4 linked regions of the Tamandua tetradactyla genome follow. The protein of the gene in region 3 purifies or fractionates together with the protein of the main gene of each other region. This does not show direct contact. Links are inferred from orthologs where the notes say so. Each region holds a gene or a part of one and is shown on either strand. Other genes may lie near its edges. The genes, in order: DMD, DTNB, TNS2 and CSK.

The links.
Region 1: the proteins of TNS2 (region 3) and DMD purify together in Homo sapiens (affinity purification with mass spectrometry; 3 studies listed by BioGRID and IntAct, with this or other methods). This does not show direct contact. The link is inferred for Tamandua tetradactyla from reciprocal best matches to the Homo sapiens genes TNS2 and DMD.
Region 2: the proteins of TNS2 (region 3) and DTNB purify together in Homo sapiens (affinity purification with mass spectrometry; 3 studies listed by BioGRID and IntAct, with this or other methods). This does not show direct contact. The link is inferred for Tamandua tetradactyla from reciprocal best matches to the Homo sapiens genes TNS2 and DTNB.
Region 4: the proteins of TNS2 (region 3) and CSK purify together in Homo sapiens (affinity purification with mass spectrometry; 6 studies listed by BioGRID and IntAct, with this or other methods). This does not show direct contact. The link is inferred for Tamandua tetradactyla from reciprocal best matches to the Homo sapiens genes TNS2 and CSK.

What each region holds. Positions count from the first base shown.
Region 1 is NC_135353.1:140,599,153-140,607,292, reverse strand, and holds the start of DMD (dystrophin), read right to left. Parts: upstream 3,066-8,140; 5' UTR 2,783-3,065; coding exon 2,752-2,782; intron 1-2,751. UniProt on the Homo sapiens protein: Anchors the extracellular matrix to the cytoskeleton via F-actin. Ligand for dystroglycan.
Region 2 is NC_135329.1:9,284,865-9,292,766, forward strand, and holds the start of DTNB (dystrobrevin beta), read right to left. Parts: upstream 3,149-7,902; 5' UTR 3,104-3,148; coding exon 3,060-3,103; intron 1-3,059.
Region 3 is NC_135333.1:114,411,475-114,418,637, reverse strand, and holds the start of TNS2 (tensin-2), read right to left. Parts: upstream 3,046-7,163; 5' UTR 3,003-3,045; coding exon 2,928-3,002; intron 1,155-2,927; exon of another isoform or gene 1,066-1,154; coding exon of another isoform or gene 1,060-1,065; intron 375-1,059; exon of another isoform or gene 77-374; coding exon of another isoform or gene 2-76; intron 1-1. UniProt on the Homo sapiens protein: Tyrosine-protein phosphatase which regulates cell motility, proliferation and muscle-response to insulin. Phosphatase activity is mediated by binding to phosphatidylinositol-3,4,5-triphosphate (PtdIns(3,4,5)P3) via the SH2 domain.
Region 4 is NC_135338.1:67,191,929-67,199,672, forward strand, and holds the start of CSK (tyrosine-protein kinase CSK), read right to left. Parts: upstream 3,016-7,744; 5' UTR 2,805-3,015; intron 1-2,804. UniProt on the Homo sapiens protein: Non-receptor tyrosine-protein kinase that plays an important role in the regulation of cell growth, differentiation, migration and immune response.

The sequences.
Region 1 (8,140 bases), on a different chromosome or scaffold from region 3:
ACCCTCTCTAATTTTCTATTCAAATATTTTCTTATAAACCCCGATTGTAAAATCTCAGTCTTCCTAAAATGTGGATTTGCGCTTCATGATTTTTTGTTTTGTGGAATAGAGTACACACATTAGTTTTGTCAATTCCTTGAAATGTGATCTGCTTTGAAAACAGAAAACAAAATATGAGCAGAAAATAGCATATTTAAAGAAAGTTTAATTTCCAATTAACTTCAATTAATTTCTTAAAAAACTTGGTATGCTGTGACTTAAATGTGTATTGATATAAACATGCAGACTCAGGTCAACATACCACCTTTGTTGTATTTGCAATGCAAAAATAATTGCTTAATGAAAAATATGAGGAACCGTTTTTAATAAGGTAGGGAACTAATAAGGTAGAATGAGGAAAGGGAAGCAGTGTTTGGGAAATCAAGTTTTAAATTCTGAGATAAAGCCCTCATGACAGATAATAAAATAACATTCAAACAATCACCTGACTTTTCCAAGACAACAGAGATTTTAATCTATTTTATTAAATCACGCAAGTGGCTACGAACTTGACATTTTCTTTCACATGTAGTAACTGATTTGGACTACAAGGATTTCAAATGAATTCTTTAGGACTAAGAAGAATCTCTGTATTTCAGTACTTTCTAGATGGAATAGTGTCCAACTAGAAAACTTTATTTTTCTTAGATAAAATTATATATCCTTAAAATGCTGTGTAGTTTTCTTTTTAGTTTATAGTAACATCTGCATGGACTTTTTCCTTACATTCATCATAATGCTATGCTATGTGATCAAGACACCCAAAGCTGCTGCTTAAATTATGAAATATGTATTTAGATCAGCAGCCTCTTTTTCACAGATTTAAGGTGTCCTTTTAAAACTACACAGGTGAAATTTTAAGGTGATTTTATTAGAACCCAACATGTTTTACACCATTCTAAAAAATTTGAGTGAGGTGGATATCAGCTAGGAAATATGTGAATAATTTTTGGCAATGCATTTTTGCGTAATTCTAAAAGTAAACAATATTTGCGTTAGTTTGGCAATGTTCACTTTTAAAGGATAACTGTTCTGTTAAAACACTAGCCAAATAAGATGTTATTGTACTCTGCTGTCTTTTTGAAATTAAGGCAATATTCAAAACTGGAATCAAATGTCAATACATCCAGATAATAGTATATTTTCAACCATTAAAATTTAATGTATAATGTAACCCTGTGAATATCTCCACTTGCTCTTAAGACACCCACTGCCATGTAGCATAAGCATTATCTGATGGTTTGAAAACATGCTATATTAAAGTCATACACAAGGGCATATCCCAAAAGGAGTTAGCTTTCATCCAATTACAATTACAAAACTCATTTAAATATTTATGCAAAACCGAGAATAGTTTGCCTTTCTTTGTTCCAGAATTGCATCTTTGCTGTTCTCTAAAAGTTGGCCTACGCACTAGTGTATGAGTTTAGTTTTTGTAGGCAAAAATTATATATGTATATATAAAATCACCAGTCATTAATTCTGGTAGTATTAATAAAATAATGATTCTTGTAATATTTAGAAAATAACGATCCAAAAGAAATAATATCAAATGAGAAATGGGGGTGTGTGCAAAGAATATGTGCTACACATGTTTTTGTAAAGAAAGTAATGATACAAATGTTATACTATGAAATTGTGCAGCATCTAACATGGATCAATAAACGAACAAATGTATTCCCACCAGTTTTTCTCATAGGGAGAACTGCTCTTCTGACTCTTTCTCTAAAAGTTGTAAAGTTACTTACATTTAGTTTTCTATTCTTAATTATAGGCATTACCCTCAAATCTATTTCAGAATGACTCTAATCCACAGGTTACAGGAAAAAATGATAATCTCTAGCCATGTCTTTGGGACACACTGTCCTCATCACTTATTATTTTCACATAGTTTTTTTTACTATTGCATGACAGTCAAATTTCAGATTTTTCAGTAGTCATCATGACTCTTCCCAAAACAAATATAATAATTGCATTTTATATGAAAGCCAAATTTAAAAAGCTTTCCTGAAAAGGGAAGTCATCACAGAGACGAAACAGTGAACTGCCTTTAGTAACTTTACTGCAAAATTTGATTGCAAATCCGCTTGTCTTTTGATGTTTTCTCAACAAGAGAGTTTCTGGTCCTTTGCCAGCACAGATCCTATATCATCATTTGAAAGATTTCTCATGAAATGCTACAGAAATGAACATCTGAAATACTAAATGAAAGGTGAGACGGGAGCTTCTAGTTAAATCTTTATCAATACTTTGCTCAACCTCCCTTGTTTCTATTACAATTCACTTGAGTCTTTATTATCTCCCCATGATCTGCCTGATCAAATTTTTCTAACCTCGAGGCACCTGCCTCATTCCCATACAGACATGATTTCACTGAGCGCGCATGTCAGGAAACTACCCCACATGTATGTTTTACAAAATTCAGAAATATCACATAATCACGATAGCCAAGTCACACAAACTATTTCACAGCAATGAAAATGGTTCTCTTTGCGAAAGGCAAAAATACTAACTCCTACCTCATTTCTGTTGAAAAGTTTCCCTAATGAGATGTACATCTGCACACAGACAGGCCTACGATATATGCATCAGACAACATTTATGCTCATTCATACACTGTAATAAATTAAAAGTCAATCTGCCTCATCAGTACACTTGTCAAACTAAAACGTATACTGTGGCAAAAGACATTTTAAGTTACTCTGTACTTACAACAGTCCTCTACTTCTTCCCACCAAAGCATTTGGGGTAAAAAAAAAAAGTATATATCAAGGCAGCAATAAAAATCTTGGTAAAAATTTCTGCCAACTTTATTGCTCCAGCAGGCTGGGGAACGATGAGAAACCAATAAACTTCAGCAGCCTTAAAAAACAAATTACACTTCAGTTTTTCCTGTTCATTTCTCTCTGAAGGTAATTGCCTCCAAGATCTGAGTCCTGTAGGGGGAAAGTGAGTGATCCTGACACTGAGTGAGTCAACATAGCATCTGATGCCAGGATTCTGTAGAGGCCCCTGGATATTTGAAATTCCAGGACCTGCGCAGAAGCAAGGGACTTGCCTTTTCTCTCAAGTTGGTTTCCCATAATAGGACTGCTCACGGCCACTACATATAAGGTTGTGATTCCAGCATGGCAGGTCCTGTGAGTTCAAATAATGTTCAACTGTGTTCTGAAGAATATTCAAACCAGAATAGCTCAGTAGACCGAGTGCCTGCTGTCCAAGCCTTCAAAACACACAAAACACTCTACAGTGCAAAGCTGTAAACAATACTTTCTGTAACTTTTATGCAGATTTCTGCAAGGGAAGAGCATAACATCCCGATGGAGAATGGACTTTTAAACACCTTTTTTCTTTTTTTCCCTCACAACCATGCTACAAAAACAACGCTCAGCTGATGCAAAAGAAATGCCCAGAATAATCTATGCATTTGTTCTGTAGCCACCGTCTATGGAAGTTCATTTCTACCCTTGGGAACGAATAAAAAAATCATGCATTGATGATGCCAACCGTGTGCGTAAGAGAAGCAAAGGCAGAATGTAACAGCTGAGCTCTGAAGGCAGAATGTGTGTAGGTCTCACGGGACAAGTTTTCTGCTAAAATAAAGAGCACTCTTACAATGGAATGAAGAAATCTTCCTGAACTGGTAAATTTTCATTGTGGGCTGTGATAAAACTTATTTACTAACAAATTACTCTTTCCTCGATGCGTTCGGTGGCAATTATTAATGCATTATTCTCTTAGTGAGTTAATGATCAATTTTTAAAAGGTTTTTCAGCAGAGACTTCTTTCTGCATTAAATGAACAAGGGTAAAATGTGTCATTCAGTGGTATTGGGAATCATGCTTTGCCATAATAGGTTTCTTTCTCTTTATCATGGTTTTAATGCAACAGGTGACTCCAATATTTATAGGAACTGTTGATAACTCATTTTAGAAAGATATTCCTTTTCCAATTCTAAGAATCCCTACTAAAATTATTTGTTTTTTCATAATACAATTTTTAATGTGACAGACTCAGATTTCTATGCTGAACATTAAATTGGTTGGCTCGGAAATAAATTATAGACAAAACTGAAAAAAATTGACATTGAGTCAATCTACAAGGTTTATCTTAATAGTTAATTACACACCATATATTTTAGAATATCATCATAATTAGTACCATTTTCCCCAACAAGACCTAAATGAAATAAAACATAAGGCCTACTTCTTAATTTGCGATACTTAGATTTAAATTACGATTATCCAAAGATAGATTTAAAATTTTCCTATACATAGATTACCTCATCTCCCCTCAGTTTGGGTGCATGAAAATGCATACAAGCAAACATTTCCATTCATTCATAAAATAAACAAATCTTTTTGCACCAACATAGATCCAATTCTGCATGTTAGCATCAATATCTTTCTGCACTCTAGGGCACAATTTCACCTAAAGTATAAGTCCTTCTATACTTTGAACTGTGAGATTTCTAGACACATAAACCCAGACACATTCCCAGTCCAATATATAGTGCATCTGTGATTCTTAAAGTGCAGTCCATAAACCAGCAGCGTGAGCATTATCTGGGAGATTAGAAATACAAATACCCCTGAGACCTGGAAAATCACAAACTCCGGAGGGTAGCCCCCGGCACTTTGTGTTTTACAGGTGATTCTAAAGCATGCTCAAGTTTGAGAAGCCGTGAAGTATATGATTCTAAAAACAAACAACTAGGCCTCCGATCTTAGGTAAAATCCAAAGTGCCAAACACTGAATCTGAATGCTCTCAGCTAAATCTTAATTCTATTTCAGTATTAATCAATAATCAGTAATTTACTGGGTACCTAGAGTAAATTCTGCTATATGTGCAATAGGTACGCTTCCCTTGAAGTTTTAGAATCTAGTGTGAAGACATGCTTAAGGTAAGTGGAAAAATGGAAAGGTACATGAAAGAAAAATCAGCTCAAACAGTCAAAGAATTTTATGACCTTCAAATTATTTTCCTGTGGCCCTTAGTTGCGTATTTTCTTTTAGTCATCACAATATCTGTATCTGGAAGTTCTTAGGAGTCCAAATATAAATATGACCAGTCAAGGAACTTATGCATGTTCTCTTAGTTTATAACTGGCAGGTTTTGAAAAAATTATTGTAACTTTTTACTTTGAAATAATTATTCACAGGAAGTTGCAAAGACAGTGGATGACCTCTCATACATCCTTTATCAAATTTAATGCATAGGTTACATCTTATATGACTATGGACAAAACCAGGAAACCGACAGTAGTGCAATGTTTGTATATATCTGTCATTTTTTCACACAAAGTACAGAAATATTCCATTGCAAAGATATTTCTCATGTTACCCCTTTAGAGGCACACTGGCCACCCTTACCCCACCATCCCTAAAACCTGGCAAACACTAATCTCTTCTTTATAATTTTATCATTTCAAGAGGGTTGGGTAAATGGAATCATATAGTGTGTAATGTTTTGAGATTGGCTTTTTTTCACTCTGCATAATGTCCTTGAAATCCATTTAAGTTATTGCCTGCATCGACTTGCAGGCAACCAGTTTGTTGAACCATTCATTGCTGGAAGATATTCTGGTTGTTTCCAGTTTGGGGCTATTATAAATAAAGCCAGAAACCAATCATGTACAGATTTATTTGTCTTCATTTCTCTGGGATCAGTGTCCAGGTGTCCAACTGCCGAGTTATGTGAACGTGACTGCTTTTTTCTGAAACTGCAAAAATGTATATATTTCTTTTTAGTTTCTCTGGGATTAATGCCCAAGAGTGCAAGTACTGGGTTCTGTTGTAAGTATGTGTTTAGTTTCGTTAAGAAACTGTCAACGTCTTTCCTAGAGGTGCTGTGCCATTTATATATCTACTAGCAATGAATGAGTGCTTCAGTTTCTCCATATCGTCACCAGAATTTGGTGTGGTCAACTTTCTGTTTTCTTTCTTCTTTTAGTCTTAATTGAATAGGGATATCTCAGGTTGCTTTTAATTTGAATTCCCCTAGTGGTTAATGATGTTGAACATTTTTTTTTTTATGTGCTTGTTTACCATCCAGATATCCTCTTCTATAAAGCCTGTTTAAAGTCTTTTCTCAAAATTGGAAACTGGATTTTCTTTTTTTTCCCACCTCTGAGATTGGAGAGTTCTTTATATATGATAGGTGTGAGTCTTTTCTTTGATATGTGGCTTACAAACATTTTCTCGTAGTCTATAACTTGTATTTACATTCTTTTAACAGGGTCTTTTGCAAAGCAAAAGTCATCGATCTCGATAAATATTTTCTTTGATGAATGGTGCTTTTGGTGTCACATACAGAATTCTTCATCAAGTTTTAAATCGCAAAGATTTTCTCACGTGTTTTTCTAATATTTTACATTATATTGAAACTGAAATCTCTGATTCACCTTGAGTTCATCCGTATATAATGTATGAGGTTTAGATTCAGTTTCCTTTTCCTTTTTTTGTATCAAAGTCTAGCACCATTTGTTGAAAAGACTGTCCTTCGTCCACTGAATTACATTTATAATTTTTTCAAATATAAGCTAGGCATATTTATGTGTATCTATCTCTGAGATTGAGATTCTACACCATTGTTCTATGCGTCTATCCCTCTGCCAATAACACACAGTCTTAATTTCCATAGTTATACTACAAGGCTAAGCATTTTAATCATATTTTCTTCTTTTTAAAATATCTCTAGTAGTTATAGACTCTGTGTCTTCCTATACAAGTTTCGGAATAAGCTTATCCACAGATAGGTCTACAGATAGGTCTGCAACATATATTACTGGTGTTCTCATAAGAATTTCATCAAGTATATAGAATTAGCATCCTTACCCTGTTGAGAAGTTCAGTCTATGAAGACAGTATATCTCTGATTATACTACATTTTAAAAATTTCTTTCATCATGCTTTGCTTAACAGTAATTTTATTGTGATTAAACTATATTTTCACATTTCAAATACATATGTGATGGCCTTCTCTTTCTCATGTGTATGTTTGCACAAAGAACACAAAGCACAGCATAACGTACAGAAGTACAGTTTTGAAAAAGAAGCACATTAAAATAATTAAATGTATACAGTTAAGTAAATACCATATGCATATGATCTTGAAATCATTTTAAATGTTAAGGTTATAACTGTTAACAGAGAAATTGATAGAGACCTATACTTTGTCCAAAAACACAAAGTAAAATTTATATGACATTGAATGCATACATCAGTATATTTTTTAATGATTCTTTTTTTGGCCTCCAGTTTTATGGTACATGTTAGAAAATGAAAACTGGCCTTGTTTATATTCCAAAATTAATAATCCCTGTATTGTAAAACAGAAGTCAAATTACTAATAAAGAGCCTAGTACTCTAAAAGTAAAAGGGAACAAGATAGGAATGAATTCTTAAATAATTGAAAACCCTAAAGAAGTTTTTTTTGATAAATTGAGAAGGGGCTGAATCATTCGCCCCTTATTCAATTGTTTAACAATTTCAAACATTAAGCTTAATAATTTCAAACTTTAAGTTTAATACAGTTTCATAGGATAACAGGCTCGAAAGAAACATACCTCCTAAACTATTTATATAAAGTTCACAATTCTATTGATTTAGGGAAAAAATCATGTTTGGCCACTTCTGTCTCCCCTCCCAACGATCCATATTTATTGAAATATGAAATGATGCCTTCTATTAAAGGCTTATATTTCTTAGATTTTTTTTTCCTTTTTAATCTATCTTTAGTTACTGCCAGTGGGAAAAATATGCTAGTTTAGAGGCACTGAGACCAGAAAAATAAGACAGGATTCCAACAAAAATTTTGCTGATATTTTCATAAAATTACATTAATAATATGTAGATGCATTTTCAAGGAGACTTTACATCTTTCATATATTAAATCTTCCAGTCCAGGACTATGGTATACATTTCCATTTGTTTAAGTCTTTGATTTCATCAGTTTTGTAGTTTACAGCATACAGATGCCATATATATTTTCTTAGATTTATAATTAAATATTTCATTTTTTGAGTGAGTGTAAATTATAATGTACTTTAAATTTTGGTTTCCATTATTTAATTGCTTAAATATAGAGAGGCAATGGATT
Region 2 (7,902 bases), on a different chromosome or scaffold from region 3:
TTTGCCTACTTAGGAGACTTTTTTGCTGTATTCAGGGTCTTGACTGTTCTGAATATGTTAAAATACTAAGTACAGATAAGAGACATTTAGTTTATCCAATTACCATTTATTAGGGACTCACTAATGGGAAGCATTGAAAGAGTAAAAAATTGATCTTTTCTTTTGGAGAACAGATGTGTAAATGATGTAGAATAAATATGTAAATATTGCTTGCTCTCTTTGCCCTATTGATTGAAGCCAAGGTAATTTCAGTATGTGGGCTAGGCTATTATAAACATTTGGGGAAGCAGAAACTTTAAGTGAAGTTGTATTAGCATCTCACCTTCTCTGTTCTGTATTTCATCAACTCCCAAATTCTCAGAAAACTTCTTTCAAACATATTTCATTCATTCTTCCCTCTCACCTCCAAAATTGTGTGTCAGCCTCTCTTACCTATTTGTCCTTTTCCTTCAGCATCTATAAATGCTCCTACTTTTCATGTCTTAGAGAAAAAGAAAGAAGCCTATCTGTACTCCAGATCCTGCCCCCACCTCGCCATATTTCCCTTCACAGTCAAATGTCTTGAAAGCAGTCTGCTCTTCCTTCTGTTTTCAGCAGCTTCTCATTCCTTAGCTGTGGTTATGCAGCCTCTGTCCCCACCACAGGGCTGCCCTGCTCTCAACTAATGGCCTAAATCCCAAAAGCCACTTTTGAGGCCCCATACTACTAGAGCACTCAGTGGCATTTCACCACACAGTGCTCCACTGTTTCTGAAACTCCCTTGGCCATCAGTACACAACTCCTCTCTTAAGCCCTCTCATGGCTCTCAGTCTCCACAGCACTGTCCTCACCCCTCAGCTCACCCCATACTTTATCACTGAGCCATTGCATTCACCCTCTGTCCTCACCCACCACAGGTATCAGCAACTCCCACACACATTATCTCCATGTCAGCCACTCACCTGGGTTCCCTATACAACAGTCTACCAGACTTCTCTACCTGAGAGGTCCTAGAGATACCTCAAGCTCTATATTTATAAAACTGTTTAGCACCACTGTCCACCCATTTGCCCAATTCAGAAGCCAGGGAGCCATCCTTGAGCTTGTCCTCACCCTCCCTACCATACCCAATCAGTCACTACATCTCGTTGATTCACCCTCGTGAATAACTCTAGAACCTTCAGCCCCTCTCACTTAGACTAATGCAACAGCATTCTAACCATTCTTTCTCCTTGTTCTAGTTTGCTAGCTGCTGTAATGCAACACACAAGAGACAGATTGGCTTTTGATAAAAGGGGATTTATTTCATTAGTTCTTCTGAGAAAAGGCAGCTAACTTTCAACTGAGGTTCTTTCTTATGTGGGAAGGTACAGGATGGTCTCTGCTGGCCTTCTCTCCAGGCCTCTGGGTTCCAACAATTTTCCCTGGGGTGATTCCTTTCTGTATCTCTAAAGGCCTGGGTTGAGTTGCGAGTGCTGAGATGAGGTATACTGAGGTGCTTGGGCTGTGCTATGTTGTGCTCTCTCATTTAAGCACCAGCCAATTAAATCAAACATCATTCATTGCAGCAGGCACGCCTCCTAGCCGACTACAGATGTAATCAGCAACAGATGAGGTTCACGTACCATTGGCTCATGTCCACAGCAACAGATCTATGTACCTTCACTTAGCCAAGTTGACAACTGAACCTGACTACCACACTCCTGTAGTCTTGCTCCTTCCGATCTCTCTTCCATACTGCAGGTCAGAGAAAATTTTCAAAATTTACAGTCCATGTAGATAGTTTGATTGAACGCCATAAGTACTTGGAATCTCAGGTAGGACATGAGATTTTGTTGGTTTGTCCAGAGTGATGCCCCGATGAATCCCAGAGTGATTCGATCAGTGAGTGTAAAAGTATTTGCAAAGCCCCCTTTGGGGAATGGTGAGAACAGGGAGAAATTCAACTTCCCCAAGTTGAATTCTTGATATTCTCACAAGCAGTGTGGACAACCAAAGCTATAGGCTAAGCCCCCAGTCTTGGGGTTTGTTCATATGAAACTTAACCCCACAAAGGATAGGTCAAGTCTACTTAAAATTTAGGCCTAAAAGTCACCCCCAAGAGAGCCTCTTTTGTTGCTCAGATGTGGCCTCTCTCTCCAGCCAACACGATGAGCAGTCTCACCACCCTCCCCCTGTCTACGTGGGACATGACTCCCAGGGGTGTGGACCTTCCAGGCAACGTGGGACAGAAATCCTAGAATGTGCTGAGACTTAGCATCAAGGGATTGAGAAAACCTTCTCGACCAAAAGGGGGAAGAGGGAAATGAGACAAAGTGTCGATGGCTGAGAGATTCCAAACAGAGTTGAGAGGTTATCCTGGAGGTTATTCTTATGCATCAAGTAGATATCATCTTGTTATTCAAGATGTAATGGAGAGGCTGGAGGGAACTGCCTGAAAATGTAGAGCTGTGTTCCAGTAGCCATGTTTCTTGAGGATGATTGAATAATGATGTAGCTGTCACAATGTGACTGTGTGATTGTGAAAACCTTGTGTCTGATGCTCCTTTTATCTACCTTGTCAACAACAGAGTAGAACATATGGAATAAAAATTAATAATGGGGGAACAAATGCTAAAATAAATTTAGTTTGAAATGCTAGTGATCAATGAAAGTGAGGGGTAAGGGGTATGGTAGGTATAATATTTTTTTTTTCCTTTCCTGTGTTCTTTTTATTTCTTTTTCTATTGTCTTTTTATTTCTTTTTCTGAATTAATGCAAATTTTCTAAGAAATGATAAATATGCAACTAAATGATGATATTGTGAATTACTGATTATATATGTTGATTTTTTGGTTTCTTAATTTTTTAATTAATAAATAATTTTTTAAAAATTTACAGTCCATAGTACATTATTTACAGTAATATAGTACATAGTCCTATATTGCCTCCACATTACATTCAGGATGAAATTACAAGTCCTCAGCACAGCATAGGAATTTTCCACTAATCTAGCCCTTGCCTACTTCTCCACACCCATCTCTGTTTGCTCCCTGTACACACATGCCATCCATTTCTGGAATGTTCCTACTTTCTCTTACCTCCATGCTTTCGTATTTGTTTGTCTCTCTGGTTGGAATGTCATTTCAACAGAAGCAAAGAATACCCAAGGTATGAGTAACCGAGGTTCCTGAAAAAGAAAAACAAAACAATGGAACAGCACTAATATTTAAAACTATAACCCAAGTAACTTTCTGAAAATAAAAGAAAACATAAACCTACATAATGAAAGAGTCCACAACGTACCTCGTAAAACTGCCACAAAGTGGTTAGCTCAGAAAGCTATCCTATTAGACAGAAGGATTAATAATAATCCTCAGGGTTTCCAGGCAAATGATTCAAATTGCTTTAAGCAATTTGAAAACTAGGGTAGAAAACTAGGCTGCAGCAAGATTAAAGATGGCTGCAAATTCTTTGCTGCTCCTTCAACCCAGGCTTGCTTTAGTGAAGTGCTTAAGCAATAGAATGTGGCATAAATGATGTTCTGAGACTGCCAAGGCAGGGTTATTAGAAGCCTTGAAGCATTTACCTGCTCTTTGGGAATACCTGCTCTTGGAGCCACAAGCCACTGTTAAGAAAATCTAACTGCCTGGGGAGTGGCCCTGGGACTGCATGGGAAGGGAGAAGGCCTTGCTGCGCCCAGCATTTGGGACACCCCCTCAGTGCACAAGGCACGTGAGGATGTCACTGTGAACCCTTAGACGGGCCCAGCTGTTAGCTGAATACTGCTGATGGAACAACCATCCAGCCAACCTCTTCCCAAATTCCTGACCCCCAAATTTTGAAATTAAAATAATATTGGTTCTTTTTTGAAGCTATTACTTTTTCAGATGAGTAGCTTGTTAAGGAGACTGGTAGTCAAACTCAATGGCATCAGACTTCTCGAGAGCAACACACAAAGCAAGGAGACAGTGGTACACCACTTTCAGTATTTTCTAGAAACTTAAGGAAAGAAGAGGCAAGCCAAGGATTTTAGAGAATCAGTGATTTTAAAAAAATCAACAACATGGCAGAATACAAAATTAACATACAAGAAAAAAAACACTGTAAAGGATGAACTATGAGGGAAACAAAGGTTAAAATATATTGAGTAGATGGAAACACTAGTGGTCAATGAGAGGGAGGGGTAAGGAGTACAGTATGTATGCGTTTTTTCTTTTTTGTTTTTATTCCTTTTTCTGGAGTGATGCAAATGTTCTAAAAAATGATCCTGGTGATGAATATACTACTATGTGATGCACAGAATGTTTGTATGTTAAGACTGTTCATGTTTGTATGTTGTTTTGGTTTGATAATACAAATTAAATTAATTTTTTTAAAAAAAAGCATTCCTACCAACTTTAAAGAACACCTAGGGCTTTAGCAGAGACCTACAAAATTTCCTGGAACTATGATTACTTTCCAGAAGCCTACAACATCCAGAAGGGTTCTTAAGCCAGATAAGTCCTGAAACACAGAGAGACCAGCCTCTCCAGAACATCAGCTAGTTTCATCTCTCTATCCCATATTATCAACAACCTTTTCCAACATGAAAACGTTAGAATGGACATAGCCAAAATACCCCTAAAGATTGGGAGAAAGATCAAAGTAGAAAGTGGAGTTATAAAACAGAAGATAGTATTTAACAAATGAGCACAACTGCTGAATCATTATATTGATATTTCTTTTAGTCTCCAGTATATTGGAGAAGGTAGAAAAAAACAAAATTTTGAAATTGTAACCCATACCAAACTCTGAAATCCATTCTATAACTAAATGCTGTGGTGTACTTTAAAATATGCCATTTTCATAATAGAAAAAATAAGATAACCCTAATTAAAGAAATATTTTAAAACTCTAGGAGGAAAAAAAAAGGATGAACTCTGAAAGGAGGCTAGCCTACCAAATATTGAAACATGCTGCAGAGCATCTTTAATGAAAACAATGTGGTTCTAGCACATGAATAGGCAGACCAGTGGAGCAAAATAAAAGTCCAGAAATCACATCAAGGATGTATGAAAATCAAGCATATGATAAACGGTCAACTAGCTGGGGCAAAGATAGACTGTCTAAGAAATGGTGATGGGATAACTAGACAGTATTCCACTCAAGGCGTACTCTCTTGGTTAGGTTATGGGGAAATGCATATTGCTGAAGGGAACGAACTATATAATACAATATCTATAGGAGTGCATTTGGCAATATCTAACAAAATAATATATATATTTACCTTTCAGCCTGGCACTTCCACTTCTAGGATTTTATTCTAAAGAATTCTCAAAAAAAAAAATAGGTATGTACTCATGCATATAAGACTCCTCATTGCAGCATTATTTTAGTGGTAAAATATTGGAAACTACCTAAATGCCCAAACATGGAAGTCTGATTAAATAAACCATGATACATCCAAACGATGGGTTACTAGGATGCAGTAAAAAAGAAAAAGCTTCGTGAACTAACTTTATAGCAGTTTCCAGGATATATTACTAAGTGATAAAAGCAAAGTGCAAATGCAAATATATAGTATTTTACCTCTCCTGTAATAAAGAAAAGAAATAAGAAAATAGAATGAATTTGCTTGTTTTACTAAAAAAAAATACAAGAACAATAAATCAGAAAAAAAAATGAAATTAGTTACCTACAAGGGATTGAGTGAGGGATGAGATGGGAGAGATATGATGGCAAGGACACTTCTCTGAGTTTATCTTTTGGTGTAGTGTAGACTGTGAAACGTTACATGCATTATTCAAAAAATAAACAAGGATAGGAAAAATTTAAAACCCATAACTGAATGCAAACAGAAACAAACAAACAAAATTGTATTTCAAAAGAATAACATAATAGCAATGAAGAAGGAAATAAACCAAGTAATTTTGAACATGGTACTCTGACATACCCTTAGTCTAATACCAGCAATAACCTGAACAATAACTGGAGCTCCTTTCCATGTGCGGTTTGGATGAATTTATAATTCATGAATCGTAAATTGTGCAAATAAACTCCCATAACTGATAGCCTAAGGTTTTTATTTTAACAGTTTTGGTGGGCTGTGAAGGAGAGCCCTGGCAGCTTCCGGAGGCCCTGAGAAGCCAGGTGGAAAGTACTCATTATGCCAAGGGGTCAAAGGAGGTTTTACTCTGCAGGTCCCCTGAAAGCACTTGCAATCAAACACAGGCCAGAGTGCTTCATGCTCAACAAAAAGAATTGTTTCGAGACCAATGGAAAATGCTGTGCCAGGTAGTCTGGAGCACAGGCTTCTGATGACATTAAGATCATATCACTGGACTGAGTAAAGATTCCAGAATTCTAATGAAGAAACCGATGGGATCATGAGATTGCTAACACAGACTGAGTGGAACGAGGATTCATCACCTAGGACTGATAAAGAATAGAGATAAGTTTTGTCTAGCTTACTGCTGATGTTTTAATGTTCTGTATACGTGAATGGATTTACATTCTTTCCGAGAAAGGATTTTCCAGAAGACAAAAACAATTAACCAGCGGGAGCAATCTGAGAAAATGGAACAATGGAGTGTACCCCACAGAACTGCAGATAAGCAGTGCCTGGTGATAAACCAGTATCAGTCCAGTAGAGATGGTTTATCAGGATGGACAAGCAGACCATAGTCATCAGTGCAGATCTGCTTCCCACCTTGGAGCCAACCAGAATATTTCCTTTGCTTACTTACAGAAGAAGCTTGTTTCTTCTATAAGCTTCCCCTTTCCACTCCCCCAGCAGAGCTCCTTTCCACATGCAATATGGATACTGTCCAATGCATGAATTATAAACTGCTAGAATAAACTCCAATAAATCATTTTTTTAAATGAAAAGAAAAATTTTTTTAACTGGGGAAAAAAAAGAATCAATACCAGGAAAAGAAGAAACAAACAAACCAATAAACATATTTTAAAATCTAAATTATCTTTTTTGCTAATATTTATTTGCAAATTAAGCAAGCAAAAATTTTTCAATTCTAATAGCCAGTGTTAAAATTCTTTTTTAAGAAATGTAAATGATACAAACTTTCTGGAGGGTGATTTGGAAATACATGTCAAACTCCTTAAAATATTGATGTTATTTGACCCAGGAATCTCAATTCTTGGAATTTATCTTATAAAAATATTCACTGGTTGATGGCTAATTTAATGTGTCATCTTGGGCAGGTTTTGGTGTCCAGTTGTTTAGTCAAGCAAACACTGACCTGATTGTTACTGTGAAGGTATACGTGAATGGATTTACATTATTAGTCCATTGACTGCACCTACAATCAACTGAGGAGATCGCCTTCAACAATGAAAGAAGTCTCATCCAATCAGTTGGAGGTCTTAAAGTGAGAACTAAGGATTTCAGAAATCAGAAAGAATTTCTGCCTCTTCTCCAGCCAGCAAGCTTCTCCTGGGGAATTCAACATCATTTTCACTGGAATTTCCAGCCCTACAAAATTTGGACTTGCTGATTCCCACAGCTGTGTGAGCCAATTCCTATAATAAATCTCATAAATCGTGTTCTCTCTCTCTCTCTTTCCTTTCTCATTCCTTCCTTCCCTCTCTCCCTCTCTCTCTCTTTCTCTTTCAGTTGGTTCAGTTTCTCTGAAGGACTCTAACATGATGATGTGTAATCGGATTTATGCATTAGGACATTTACCACAGTTACTTCCAAAATCCAAAACTGAAAAAAAAAAAAGTTTAATGATTAACTAAACTATGAAATATCCATAAGATAGAAACTTCCACAGCCATCAAAATCGTGCTATAAAAGAATGTCTCCCACGTCACAGAGAGTATTCAGGAAATTCTGCTAAGCCAAACCAAATAGTAAGATGCTATGTATAGTATGATTCAAACTTTGTTTAAAAATATGCATGAGAGACAACCAATTAGAAAAAGGGTCAAAAATATAAACCA
Region 3 (7,163 bases):
CCCTGCTGGTGGCCCGGCTGCTGTCCCTCCTCCCTAGGGCTCTGAGCAGCCTCTCCACGGGGCCGCTGGACTTCATGGTGTCCGGCTGGCCGGGTTGCTGGCCGCGGGACCTGAACAATGCTGGGGCCGGGCCCAGGGCTTCCTGGAAGCGGCCTGGCGGAGGCAGCCGCTTCCCCTGGGCGGAGGGTAGGCTGTCTGCCTGGTGCGAGAAGCCCGGCCCTGGAAGTGGCGGGGAGTGCAGACGGGAAGGGGGCAGGTCGCTGCTCCAGGAAGTGGAGGCGGGGGAAGAGGATGTGGGGGAGACCAGGAGATCAGATTCCCAGGATCTATCCTGCTGGGATGTCAGTGCAGGAACCTTTGGGCTCCAGCCTCATCAGCTGCCAGGCCCCTGTGGAGTGTTCCCGGGGTTCATCTTGCTCAGGGATCTACAGCCATGCCCGGTCCTGAGATCCGGCCCCCCATGAGGCGGGGTGGGGGTGGGGTGGGAATCGAGGTCTCAGGGCAGGTCTCAAGGGCCAGTGGGGAACACCGTGTCCAGGCAAGCGTCCCCGCCTGGACTCTCAGGCCCTCCTGGGACTTCCGGTGGGAGGAGGGTGGGACTGGGAACCATGCTGGCTCAGGGTCCGCAGAATGCTGACTGAGTGCATCCTGAGGGGCCCCGAGTGTGGCTCCTGGGAGTCAGGGCAGACGGGACCGAGGGCCAGCTCTCTGCCTCATGTCACTGGTTGTGAAGTAGGGAAAGGAAAACACGCACTGCTTCCCCACCCCGGCTGCCTCTCCACCCCTACCCATTCCAAGGCCAAGTCCCAGCAGGAAGGCTGCGCTGCCCACACGAGTGGTCCATCCTCCAGCCATGGCCCAAGGCATTGGAGGCCTTTCTCCTGAGAGCCCGTGAGAGCCGCAGCTGCTCCCCCCACTCACCCATTGTCTGGGTTGTTTCAGGCCCGACCTGACAGGTCCCTAGCCCCCCACTTTTCAAGTCCTGCAACTTCAGCCTTCCATCCCAGGCCCCCAGCACCGGGCCCTCGCCCCGCTGCCTCCCCAGAGCCTGAGTACTACCTCCATGGTTCTAGCTCTGCTCTCCTCCCTCAGCCGCCTGCGTCCTAGGGCCTGAGGACTGGACAGGAGGTCCCCCTCCCAACACACACTCCAACCCCTCTGTGGGCCTCCTGCCTCCCTCCTGGGAACATGGCCAATTTCCTGTCCTCAGAGTCAAGGGAAGGGGGTGGATGGGCCTTGGAAAGGAGGTAGTAATCTTCGGAAAACATCAGGGTTAATGACCTAAGGGTCCTCAGCCCCAAACCTTGAACCACAGCCCTGTCATTTGAAAGAATGTGCGAATGTGCCCTGCTCTATTTGCATGGCATTTACTGAATGTCCCAGCGGCTCAGGCAACTCCCCCAACTCCAGCTTCTCCCAGTGGGACCCTTCCACTTCCCTCCCCCTCCCTCATGTCCATGTGGTCTGGAGCACACCAAAGACACTTCTGTGGGACTGGATGGGCTGGGGCTAGCCTGACGCCTTTTCCTAAAAGATTCTCCAGGCCAGGAAGTCTGTCCCCAGGGTATCTTGGTCAGTGGGTGGCATCTGTGTGACAAGGCATGGGCCCCCAGCCTGTAACTAGAGAGGGGCTCTGGCTCTAATGCTCTCTCCCCCAGGAACCCTGGCTGGGTCCCAGGACATTCCAGGCCCCTGGCCAGTGTGGGCAACTGGGACTGGCCTGGTCTAGAACGCATCGCTGATTGGGGGAGGAGAGGCACTGTGGCCAGGGGCTTTTCCCTGTTCCTACTGCATATATGACTGACCAGGATCTCTTCTGTAAGCTTCTACTGCTACTGTTTCCAGAGGGGCTGAACAATCTCCTCACCTGGCAGAGCACTTCACGAGGGGACAGGTTCTCAAATGCCCTCTGACCCTAACTGGTCTCAGACTCTCCCCACACAGGCCCAGCAAGGAGCTGCCTGAGCAGTGTTTGCAGTGAGGGAGTGGGGCACTCACCAGCCCCTGAGGTGGGTGGCCTGGGCTGGGACTGACTTGGCTGTGAGTCCTCTGCACCCCCTGTGAAGCACCTCTCAGGGAAGATAGGGATCATGAAAAGTGCCTGAAAGGAAACGCAGCTCAGCGGGAGGGTGGGGGATGGGTGGGGGGGCATCATCAGCCGCCCTAGAGCTCTTGCCTTCCTTCTGCCTGGAACATTCCAGGGCCCTTGTTGGCTCCCGCCTGGCCCTCTCTCCCAAGCTCTGGGTTTGTTTGGAGAAACCCCCTCCACCCACACCATCCCACTTCCTGGAAATAACTGTGGTTGGATATGAGGCTGAGAGCCCAGGGCCCAGCCATGGAAGAAGGGTGAGGCCCAGGGAAGGAGAGATGGAGGCAAGGCCGAGTAAATGGGTGTATCCAGAGGGATCTGAGAACTGAGGGTAGAAGCAGACTGGCTGATGTGTGGAATGGGGCTGGAAAGTCCAATCAGTCTCATCTGTGCCTGCTCTCTGCCTTAGTTTCTCCAGATGTGAAGCAGAAAAGGAAAACACTCGCACACACTTCTCCCAGGCCAGGTCCTGAGTGCCGCTGCCAGCTCCTGCCCACCTGGGTTGGGAACTATGTGTGTCCAGGCAACTTGCTTCACCGTGCCTGTTCCCGGCAACGGCAACGTGTGCGCCCGGGACACGTGAAGCCGTGACGGTCGGAGTGTGACCTCCGGCCGGCCGGGACCCGCCCCCCTGGCCACCTTCCTGGCCTCTAACTTCCTGGCCTCTAACTGCCCTTGACCTCGGGCCCTAACCTCAGCCCAATGGCGCCCACCCCACTCCCCGCGCCCACTCGACCCCCGGCGACCCCGCGCCCCCTGGCGACCGCCCCTGGCACTACCCGGCCGGCCGTGACGCAGATGCCACCGCCCTCCCGCCCAGCGCGGCGCGGCCACTCACCTGCGGGGGGCGCCCGGGGGGGCGGGGGCGCGCCGGGGCGGGGCAGCAGCAGGGGGCGCCTCCGGGCCAGCCCATCCCGCCCCGGCCCGCGCCGAGCGGGACCAGGAGGAGGAGGAGGAGGAGGAGGAGGTGGAGGAGGTGGAGGAGGTGGAGGAGGAGGAGGAGGGAGCGGGCGCGCCGCGCTCGACTCGGCTCCCTCCCGCCTCCACCGCTCCCCGCGCCCGCGGCGGCTCCGTCCCTCCCTCCTGCGCCCCGGCTCCAATCCCCACGTTCCGCCCGCTCCCCGCCCCTCGTCCTCTCTCCTTTCTCTCTCTTCTCCCCACCTTCCACCGCGAACTCAGACTCAAAAAGAGATGGGCAGGAAGAGGAATACGGAGAGAGGCCGAGGCTGGGAAAGATGGAAAGAGACTAAGAGATGGGGAGCGAGATTTTGAGAAAGACGGGTACCGAGAACACAGCGACGGGGAACATCTCAGAGACCGGAGAGACCCAGAAATGGCGACAGGGAGTCCGGGAGAGACTGACCCGGCAGGACACAGGCAAAAGACACGCGCTCCAAAGAGATGCTGAAGAGAAGGTGGCTAGAAACAAGGACAGAAAAACTTGTCCTCCCCCAGGAGTGTTCTTGGGACTGGGTCTGACCCCAAAGCCCCAGGCAGAGCACATCTGCGGCCTGCTGTCTGGGGAGCTCAGATCAGGTGAAGACACCAGGTGTTTGTTTCCCAAGCCGCTGGACACCCTTTCCTGCTTCTCTGGCTCACAGGAAACTTACTGGTGCTACACCGCACCCCCAGGCAGCTCCAGCAGTCCCATCCACCACCTGTTTTAGCTTTGCACTATCATTCCCACTCCCTTGGAGACTTCTACTCAAGAGGGTCTTCTCACATTTAATACAAGCCCTGGGCTTCCCCAGTACAATTGGAAGTTATTACCATGGAGGAGGGATCTGGAGGGTAGGGATAAGGGAGGGAATGTCCTCCTAGAAGCTCTTGAGCCTATTGCCGGTACTAAATTCCAACAACGTTCTTTAGCAGTGAGCACTTCCGGAAACTTTCTCCCTCCTTCACCCTCCCCACTGGAGTTTCCGTGATGAAAACTGGGGTGGAAAGGCAGATTCTGAGAAGCCAGTGTCCAAGGCACAATGCCCAGTGCCTGTCCAAGGCAGTCAGCACTACTAGCTCTGAGGCCCTCTGTCCCTTCCCCCCGCATCTTTCAACTGTGTCCGAGGAGGTGGAGCACCTGATTCCAAGCTGGCATAGGGAAGAGACTGTGAAGACCCCAGAGGCTGGCATTTGGGAGGGGATGGATGTAGCTGAGACCTGAGGAGCTTTGATTTTACCACTTTTGGTTGCATTAGTGTCCAGTAGGCAGGTTCAGGGGTTAGATCAGTGGGGGTCACAGGGGAATGTGAGGGTAAGGAGCTGTGTGGGAAGGGAAGGCGCTGGGGGAAAGGGAGAGGCAGGAGTTAGGAGAAGACTGAAGAGAGCAAGAGATTGAAGATTACTGGGAAAAAGGTCAGAGCTGAAGGTCCTTTTGTGTCTTTTGGCAAGATTTGGTAATGTAATCCAGAGACAAGGTGTGGAAATGTCTTCATTTCTTTGGAGCCTACATTTGCCCCCCCCCCCCCTTTTTGTTAACATTTTGCCCCTTCCAGGGTTCACTAGGATCTTTGGCTGGGGACTGGGATGCATGCCAGGGGGGTAGGCTCTAATCTCTAAAGGTATATACCAAGGGAAATACTGGGACTCAGAAGAGAGAAGTGAGCAGGGCTAGGACCTCACAGTCATGCTGGTATTGCTGCCCAGCCTGGTGGGGCCATAAGAGGAACTTTTGAATTCCCAAGAAGTTGGGAGAGGGTTACAAGATGGGTAGCTGAACCCCTAGCTCAGACATGATTCCTCTTCTCAACATTGTGACTAAGGAGATGGGGGCTGGAGGAAGGAGGGTGAAGGAAGCTGATGAGCAAGGTTGGGAGTGATACAGCAGGTGGTTTAGTGGGGTTGAAATAAAAATGGGTGGTGCAGGGAGCCAGCCAGGTATCTCGATTACCAGCCCAGAGCAGTGGGAGCTTCAGAAGGGAAGAGGAAAGGGAGGAGAAAGCCAGGAGGCTGTTATTAAAAGGGTGAAACAATTTCAGGGGCCCCCCTCCCCCCTCCCCCCTGCAGGTTTTCTTACCTTGACTATGCAGAGGGCAGCCAATCTTGGCACTGAAGGCTGAACCTCCTCTTCCATGATCCGGGGTGATCTCATGCCTGTGACTGGGTGTGGTCAGATCTTTGGTGGGGAAGGGACTACTTTGAGGGGAGAGGGGACATTTAGGGTGTGGGGCTGCCCTGGCTGGAAGAGCACTGGGTCAGGGGAACTTCAGTGGAGGGGTTTGGGCACTGGGAACCAGGAAGAGCGGGGGAAGGGGCAGAGCTGACTCCAGAGGCGGATCTCCCGGCTGAGGACAGAGAGTGTATTGTCCAACCGGGAGGTGGCTGCAGCTGGGCGGGGAGCAGTACAGTTCGACCCTTCCAAACTCCTTCTTTTTAGGAGAGAGGGAGAGGGTGGGAAGGCAAGTCTTCCTTTCACTTGTGGCCCTGGGGGGCTATAGTAGTTGCTGAGGAACAAGGTTTATTTGACAAATTGTGCTTCTGAGGAGCAGATGTGCACAAGCTCTTCCACTTCCTGAGAAGTCAGGTGCTGTGACCTGGTGTGGTACTTGGGGTGACGCCCTTAACAATAACTGGAGCCCTCATTGCCATGGGACCCAGAACAGTACTTGGCTTTGCTTAGGAGAAATTTGACTAGGTGGACTGAAATACACATGGGGCCATCAAACCTAATGACCTTTTAAGTAGGTTGCTGCACCTGTATCCTCTCCCCCCCCCCCCCCCCTTTCTGGTTGCTCAGCATTTACATTAGTACAGAACAAATGGATGGTCCTAGCATCCATTTCTGCAGCTGGACTTATGGGAGGGCCTGCACATTGTTCTATGATTATGTGGGGCATACCAGAGCCAAGTATTTCCTTGAACTTAGGATCTCCTTTTGGGACATGCTACGGGAGTGCCTTCCTCCTTATCCTTTCAAATTAGCCTTTCCCATTGGAGTCCTCCTCCTTTCCACCATTTATCCAGAACTCAGTGTTACATAGGTAGGGAAATCGCTAGAATTGAAGGTTTGGAGAAAAGTGACTGCGTTAACCAAGTGCTCACTTTCCCTACAGTCTGTGCAGGAACATCTTTTTCTTCCTCCCTAAACCCACACTGAAAAGTCTTGCATCATCACAGCACACTGGCCCCTATTTTGTTAGCTTTGGAGAAGAGTGATCAATGCACAGAAAGAATCCTGGAAGAGCAATTGCTTCAATTGGTCCTGCTCAAGGTCTGCAACATTGTCCACTGATTTTTTCTGGTATACCTTCTATACTCCACCCCTTTGTGACCTTAGGGACTCTCTGCCACTGTGCTAATCCATTTCCTGTCTTGCAACAATCGTTTCCCACAGGACTGGTTAAGAAAAAGTGGCCTCAGTTGTGCTAGCCCAGACCATCCTGTCAATGGGAACTCAAGATATAACCCAGCAAGGTAGCAGCTTTGGACTACTTAAGGATAGAGATTTATGGAGGAACTGTTCTAAAGATGTGAAGATTTATTCCCAGACTCTGTATTGTTAAGTATAACAATAAAAAAGAAAATTCGGCAGCCTGGGTGTGGTGTATAAGGGACTCTGTACTATCTAAACAATTTTCCTGTACAATGTAAAAATATTCTAAATTTAAGCTTATTTAAAAAAAAAAAGGTGAGGAAAGGACACCAGGCAAAAAATGCCAAAGGGGCAGCTGGAAGGCAAATTCTGCCCTGGACCTCAATAAGTGTTGAGGAAGATTCCCTTGTAGTTCTATCCTTTGGTCTTACATGAAATGGTACCTAAACCTGAATGAGATGGTGGGATGGTGGGAGGACAGGACAGACAATCAATATTAAGTCCAATAAAAGCCCTGGGAGTACGGGTGTATGTGAAAGAATTTCAACATAAAAATGAACTTTAAAGATCAGATTTATTTGGAGAAAACAAAAAAACCCCACAACCCAAAGGATGGGGATTTTACATCTCAAGACATCTCCCAGGTATTAAGTCTACAGATTACAAATCATTTTCATAGAAGATATTTTTGTACAAATTTTACACGTATTCAGGAGCTGGACATAAATCAATCCCTGTTTCCTGTTTTAACAGGGGGGAGAGGAG
Region 4 (7,744 bases), on a different chromosome or scaffold from region 3:
ATCTTCCCAGGGCAGGTCAATCACATGGTGATGAAGAAGGGGGAAGGCAGGAGGCGGGGCAAGGCACTGGTCATAGGAGCCCAGAACCTCAGTTCAGAGGACCTTGGGGCAGGGGCCATCCTCAGCCCTGCCCGGTAAGCAGTTAGCCAACTCGGTCCAGGGCTCAAACAGCTCAAACAGCTCAAATAGCTCCACCACACATCCAGAAAGCCTGCTGGAGGCATTCTCTCCACACCACCCCACTAATAAATGGGAAACAATGCATAAGCTCAGTAACAGGGCTTGGGTGAAGTTGCTCTGGCAGAGCTATTTGGAATATTCTGTAGCTTTTTAGGAGGAAAGTTACTTAGCCTGTGCAGAATGTGAGAAAATGCCTATGGCCCCAGTAGTAAATGAAAAAAGGCATCATGGCTTGTACATTCGAACGGCAACAGTAAGAAAAGAAATCAGGAAAAGCTGGCAGGAAACTCCAAAATGCTAATAATGACTGTGTCAGGTAAAGGAATAGTGGGTGATTTTTGTTTTCCTTTCTAGATTTTCTGTAGTGCTGTTTTGTTACTTTCAAAGTTAAGAAATTAGTACTCAGGTAGCAGCCGGCCTGCCCCCAGCTCAGATCCTGGCATCTGCAGACGACCCCAGCATTTTCCACTACAGGGCAACTGCTTGACTACAGGACACAGTAGTTTCTCAGACACACAAGGAGGAGAGCCAATAATCTCTCCTTACCTTCTCTTTCCCAGACCAAATACTCCTGTTCTTTGGGAACTGGGTCTCAATCCTCCAAAATACCTCAAAAGATGGAGCCCAGAACTAGACACACGCTGTCCTGCCCAACTAGGCCACATTCCCTAATAAACCACCCAGAGACTTTTTGGGGGCAGTCATGTCACACCTGTGCTCATTCGGTGTGTCCTCTCTCCAACCCTTGCCATGGGACACTCCCACTTGAGGCTCAAGCTCTCTAGGCCCAGAGTCCCCTGGGAACATCTTCTGGTCCTTTCATGCTTTCCATTTGATGTAGAGAGAAGAAAAGCCCCTTCAGAGGGGGAGGAAGGTACCAAGTTTCCCAAATGAAAACTGCACACACACTAGTACCTTCTACAATGGCCTTGGGACTCCACGCCTCATCCTCACAGCCCACGGTTCATAAAAAGCATCTAACCATGCCAGGTCCCATCCACAGGCTGGTGAGGAAGTTAGGGCTGGGGCCCAGGACAGCTGGGTCCCCTCTAATGTCCCTGATGGAGCAGCAGGGAGAGAACCCTAAACCAAGGGCAGGGGCCTCGAGTTAGACAAAACTGCCAGCAACCCCAACCAAGGAAGCCCAGGCACTGCTCAGCACCCTCCAGGGACCACCCCCTCCTAGGATAAAGATGAATCTGCCATACTTCCAACCTCACACTTGCTGCCTTTGCCCTGTTCCTACTGTGGACATGCTAAGACAGTGGGACACCCAGGGTGCGGAGTTTTGCAATAGGCCCTGTGGGTGTTCCCATTCTGACAATGGACCATGCAAAGGGTGTAGGGAGCTACCAGTGGTATCAGGGCTCCCATTTTCCTGATCCTGAGCCCATCCCTGTTCTGAACTTGGCTGTTTCCGTGCTGGGGGGCCGGGGAGGTGGGGAGGGCAGGAGGGCTGGAACACTACTGACCACCAAGTTGTTCCAGCTCAGAGTCAGGGTCCAGGACTCCAGCATCCTTGACACACCACACAGTTCGCACCTCACACCTACCACATCTCCTACCAGTGGGACCTAGCCTCAGCCACCAAGGGGAAATCCCACAGACAGTGCTGACGCTGAGTACAGACCAGAGGAGCTGGGGCCGGAAGCCCTCACCCTCCTCTCTAGTCCTCTGTAGAGGAGCACGTGCTCACCCCGCACCATCCCTCCTAGGCCACCTTAGTCCCTAGTGGGTGATGGTGCCTTCCAGACTCCCCTCCATCCATGGCAGCCCAGCTCTGCAGAGATGGGGTATGAAAGGATGGTATCCTAACTCTGCCAAAGGTCTGGGGGTAGTGACTTCCCCCTTTGGGCCTCGTTTCCTTGGTCTATAAAATGGGTGGGGAAGTAAACCCTTAGTTAAATTCCAAGGATACAGAGGCTGGACACGCCCATTCCTGACAGCTGGCCTGGGCCCTGGGAACCTGGGAGAATGGGCTGACCAAGCTGCATGGAGGTGAGGGCACAGTGCTAATGTCCAGTGTCGCCTGCACCCAGGATGGAGGCCCTGCCCAGTTTCCCTGCCCAAGGGTCAGAGGTCTCTCAGCTCAGGCCTGGTCTTCTGGGAGGCAGAGGGTCAAAGGCTCCAACCCAGGACCTGGGCCTATGATAAGGTTCAAGGGAAGTGGCTGGGCCCTGGGCTGCCAGAAGCTAGCAAGGCCTCGGTGGGGAGTGGGGAAGGGGTCAGACCCATGCAGGCCAGGACACCTGCAGGGAGGACCTGGCCATGGAAGAGCAAATTCCCATGGAGTCCAACATCAGGGTCCTGGCCCACCCTGGCACCAGGCTCCAGCCACCGCCCCCACCCCCATCCCCCCAGCTCCACAAGGGGGGGAACTCGGGTAGGCCTGGGCCAAGTCTGTGTGGCTCGCAGGGCAGTGGCTCTCCCCGCGTGCTCCCCTCCCGGTCCAGTTCTGACAGGGACTCCCGGGAGAATTTGAAGCTGGGAAGGAGGGGATAAGGGAGATGGGGGATGGGAGTGGACGCGACGGAGGCAGCCACGGAAGCGGGACGTGCGACCTCCACCGTCCTCCCTCGGTGGACACTCACACCCCGCCTCCTCCCGGGCCGCCGGGCACTCACCTCTCTCCCGGCGCTGCGGTCCGAACCAACTCGCCGCGGGCGGCATCAGCGGCCTGCGGGACAGTCCATGCGGCCGGGGGGAGGGGGGGCGCAGGGGTCCTCGGGGGTGCGTGCCAAGAGGTCCGGGGACGGAGAGAGGGGGGAGGCAGGGCGGCCAGACCGAGGCAGGGGGCAGGCTGCGCGGCCGGGTCGGGGAGGGAAGAAAGACGGGGGAAGGGGGGGTGGGAGGGAGTAGGGGGGAGGAAACAATGTAGCCGGCGCGGCCCCCGCAGAGTTTCGCTTCCGAACGCCGCTACCCAAGCTCGACTTCGGATGGTCGCGTCCGCTGCCAGGGGCCGCCCCTGACGCTCTATCGGGGGCCGCGGGGGCTCCCCGCGCTCCACGTCCCGGAGGCTCCGGCGGCCACAGGCTGCCTAGGGCGGGAGGGGCGGCTGGCCGGGGTACAGCCTCGACGGCGGTGGGGACAGGCGGTCTCCCCGCTCGGACCCCACCCCGGCAGGACCCCCCGGGACAGGGCACGGGGTGGGGCGGGAGCGGGAGGGCGGCGGCGGTCTCGGCGGCGGCGGCGGCGGCCAACCTCGGCTCGCCCGAGGCTCCGCTGGGAGGAAGCTCGCAGGCCTGGCGAGAGGAAGCGCGGCCCGGATCCTCCGCCCGCGGCAGCGCGCCTGCGCGAGGGGGCCTGCCCGGCGTGCGGCGGGGCGTGGGCCGGCGAGGCGACGCCCCCTGCCGGGCGCCGGCGGCACTGCGGGGGGGGTGTGTCCGCGCCCACGCCCTGCCCCCACCGGCCTGTCTGTGTTGGAGGCTCCTGAGGGTCCCCCTCAGAGGGTCGACCACCCCACCTTGAAACAAGCTCTGAGCGCTCTCTTGTCAGCTTTCCCAAAGTAGAAGCGATGGAGGCCGGGCCTCTCCTCCAGTCTGTAGGGGGTGGGCCTCACTGGCCGCAGTGAGCGTTCATTCATTCATTCACTCATTGCTCTCTAGGAGATCTCAGTCTGGTGGGAAGACTGACAGGTTAAAAGAAAATCGCAAAGAAATAATTGATAAAAGTAGAGAGGTGATGTACAAGGTCCACAGGAAGCAGAAAAGAAGGGAGGGTTGATGGGGAGACTTCACAGAGCTGGGACACCAGGCAAAGGGAACAGCATGGGGGAAGACAAGGGAGAGGTGAGAAAGGAGAAAACTTCTGGGAACTATAAAGAGCAAGCAGCTTGGGGTGTGGTGAGGTGAGAGTGGTAGGAGATGAGGTCCCTGCAAGCAGCATGGGCAAGAGCAATCACGAAGAGCCTTGTGGGACTTCCTTGGACTTTATTTCCAGCCTTATGGCAATGAGGAAGTTGTTAAAAGCTGTGTGACCTTGGGTCATTTACTTAACTTCTCTGTACTTCAGTGTTCACATTTGTTAAAATGGGGAGAATCATAGCACTAATATCTTAAGATTTTTAGGGAGGAAATGAGTTAATAAATTTAAAGTGCTTAGTGTGCAGTGGCTGGTACACGTTGAGTCCTTAATTAAGTATTGGCTGATATATATCTTTGCGGAAAGTGATCTGCTCTGAGCTACAGGACCACCAGACAGTGTGAGCTGGGGTTGGGGGTTGGGGCTGTGGTGGAGGAAACTGAATATACCAGTGTCAAAGGAAGGAGTTCAGAAGCATCAGGCTTGTGTGGGCAGAGAGGAGGGTGCCTTCCCTGGTGGGGAACGTGAGGCATGTTGGCAAAGTTTTGGAACCCAAAATAAATATGGAGGGGCCAAGGGAGTAAAAGGGACAGGGAAGGGCCCTGTGGGAGATAGTGCTGGGGAGACATGGTGGCTGCAGATTGCAAAGGGTCTTGAATACCAGGAGCAGGAGTTGAATGTCCCCCACCCCACCCCAGAGAAACCACAGGTTGTCCCTCTGACCCAATAAGCCCCTGGGTCAGCTTCCTAGCAAGGGGCCAGACCTTTGGGGGAGAGAAACAGCAGTAACATGCTTACCCTTTGGGGAGATATCCAGGAAGTCTAAAAAAATATCTGTGGTGTAATGGAAAAAAAGCATGAGTTTTAAGTTCAAATCTCAGGGTTAACTCTCAGCTTGTCCATTTACTAGCCGTGTTAGTTGCCTGAGGTCTCTGAGCTGTTTCCTCTTCTATAAAACCAGGCTCAGAATACACCTTTCTCAAGGGAAGTGGTGCAGATTCAGCAAGACAGGAGCCTGGGGGTGGGCGAGGGGTGCGTGGGGAGGGTGCTCAGCAGGGCTGATTTCCCTTTCTTTCCTCCGGAGATCTAGATGGAATGATAAGGTGGGGCCGGATGGAGGTGGGGTGGGGTGGCTGCCTCTCTGCCCTCAGCTGCTCAGCAGAGACTTCTGGAATGGAGGGGTTGACATCTCCTTCCCCTCCCCCTGCCTAATCTGTTGGCAGGATGGGAAAGAAGGGACTGTCAGGATTTGGAGAAAAATATTCCAATCCCTGAGGAGCTTCATCACCAACCTGTCTCCACCCCCTTCATCCCCCAAAACACTTGACCCTTTTCCTGCATGCGCCGATTGTGAACTTTGGAGTCAAATAGACCTGCATTTGAATCCTGCCTCCACCTCACAACAGGAGTCGATGGAAGATTTTTAACCTCTCTGCACCCCAGGGACTGGGGCTAAAACCCTGAACAGATCAGTCACAGGCTCCAGCCCATAGAGCTATCCTTTAGGGGGAGTGCCAGACAAGTCACCTCCAACCTCCTCATTCATTCATTCATTCAGCAAATCCTTAGTGAGTACCTACTAAGTGCTCGGTCCTGTTCTGGATGCTCAAGATGAAGGAATGACTACTACCACCCCGATTCTTGCCTAAGGGGGTAAATAAATAAACAGTAATTAGACAGTGGTATGAAGGAATTGAGCACGTGATGGGCTTGACAGGATGGAGAGATGGTTCTCCACTTTGAGACCCAGAGGAGAAGGTGGAGCCAGACCTTGGAGGAATGGGGGAAGATGTTCCAAGCCTAGGGCACCGGGAGGTTTTAGACCCAGGCTGAAAAGGGCTCTGCGGCCAGGGGACATCCAGAAGGCCAAAGTGGTGAGACCAGCAAGCAGGGGAGAGTGGCCTGAGAGGAAGCAGGGAAGGCCAGAATCAAGTGCCTGATCCTGTAGGGCATTATGGGCCTGGGATTTTATTACATGAGTTTGCATCGAATCTTGTAGAAGGATTTTAAGCCCGGGAGTGGCATGATCTGAAATGTGTTTTAGAAGGCCTCTCTGGTTGTTGGGGAGTAAGGGGGAGGGGCTTAAGAGTGAAGGGTGGAGAGAATGAAGAGGCCAGTTAGGACGTCCAATACCGCTGTTACCCTGGCCCAGGCCAGCGATGTTAGGCGCGGGCTCTGGTGGAAGTAGAGGGGAGACGAGAAGTGGCTGGAACAAAGGAGAGTCGACTGACAGCTCTATGCAAAGTTGGGTGGCTCTCCAGAAGTCCAGAGCTGAAGCATTTAATGGCTGGACTGGGTCTGAGTCCCTGGGGACGGGAAGGGCCCCTCCTTCCTCCACCCTGCTTCTTCCCCTCCCCCAGCCTCACTGCGCCAAGATGACAGTTTAGAGAAGCTGGTGTGAAATAGTTTGAAACTCAGACCTTCTGGGCGGTCCCCTGGGGCAGAAAACAGGAAGCCAAGATTAAAGGCAGATTTTCTGCAAAGTCCCTTTCTATTTCCTGCAGAGCAGGTGCTGGGGCTGAGCTGCTGAGCTCGCTGGGAAAGGGCGCTGGTCCATCTCTGCTCACTTTCAGTGGGGGTGGGACCCAGGGGAAACGGGACCCCTCGGAGGCCAGCCCTCCCGCTGGGGTAGCTGTTCTTAGGCCTTGTGATCACTGGCTTCACCAGGGAGCTCCTGCCTATTTCCTTGGAGAATCAAGCCCTCTCCAGAAGGAGATTGTGGAAGGTGGAAAAAGCTGTGCTGGGAACAAGTCCCCAGCTTTGGCATCACCCAGGCCTGGTGTGAATCCCATTTCCCTACTGCAGGTCTCACTGACCCTTGGGGTTGAGAGTGAGAGGTACAAGCAGTGGAAAGTGTGGCTTAAAGGGGAGAGTGACCAGGGAGAGCAGAGCAGAGCAGTGCTGGGCTGAGAACCCCTGTGGAGAGACAGAAACCAGAGAAACAATAGCCGCAGTGGCCTCTGTCATCTCAACATCGGGGGCCACAGGTTGAATGGCTGAGCTGACATCACAGGTGCTGAAGGCTTGGGAAAACAGGAGCCAGCAGGCCTCTCCCCAGACCTCTTCCCTGGAGCAGGCGGTCTCCAGTAGACTCATCAAGTTGAGAAGCTCAGTCCGAGTGCTCCAAGGGGATGTCCGAGTGTGTTGGTTGGAATCTATTATGTACCCCAGAAAAGCCATGTTCTTTTAATCCAATCTTGTGGGGGCAGACCTACTTGGGTGGGACCTTTTGATTAGGTTGTTTCCATGGAGATGTGACCTTGCCCATTCAAGATGTATTTTAAGCTGCTTACTGGAGTCCTTTAAGAAGGAGACATTTTGGAGAAAGCACAGACGCTTGGAGACAGAAACACACCAGGAAATGCTAAGCAAGGACCCACCTGAAGCTGAAAGAGCCAGAACCTGGAGAGAGCCCAGGGCACTCAGGGCAAAGCCACGGCCTCCCAGATAACTCCTCTCACTCTCCTTAAGGAGCCTGAACTCCCATCCTGAGAAAGCCCGTCCGAATCTAGGGAGTGTGACTCACTGACTCATTGAATCTAGGGAGTGTGACCTCCTCTGGCTGGATGAGTTTTATGATGAGGCCCCCACATTGGTCTGGGAGACCCAGGTTCTAGGAACAGAACTTGCTTCTGGCTTTGGACAAGTCCTCTCCTCTACGCCTCAGTTTCCCATCTGTGCACCGAGTGGCTGAATTTGGTGATCTCTACAGTCCGATTCCTTGTGCCTAAATGGAGCTCTCTGGGCTGCTGCAAGGGGGTGG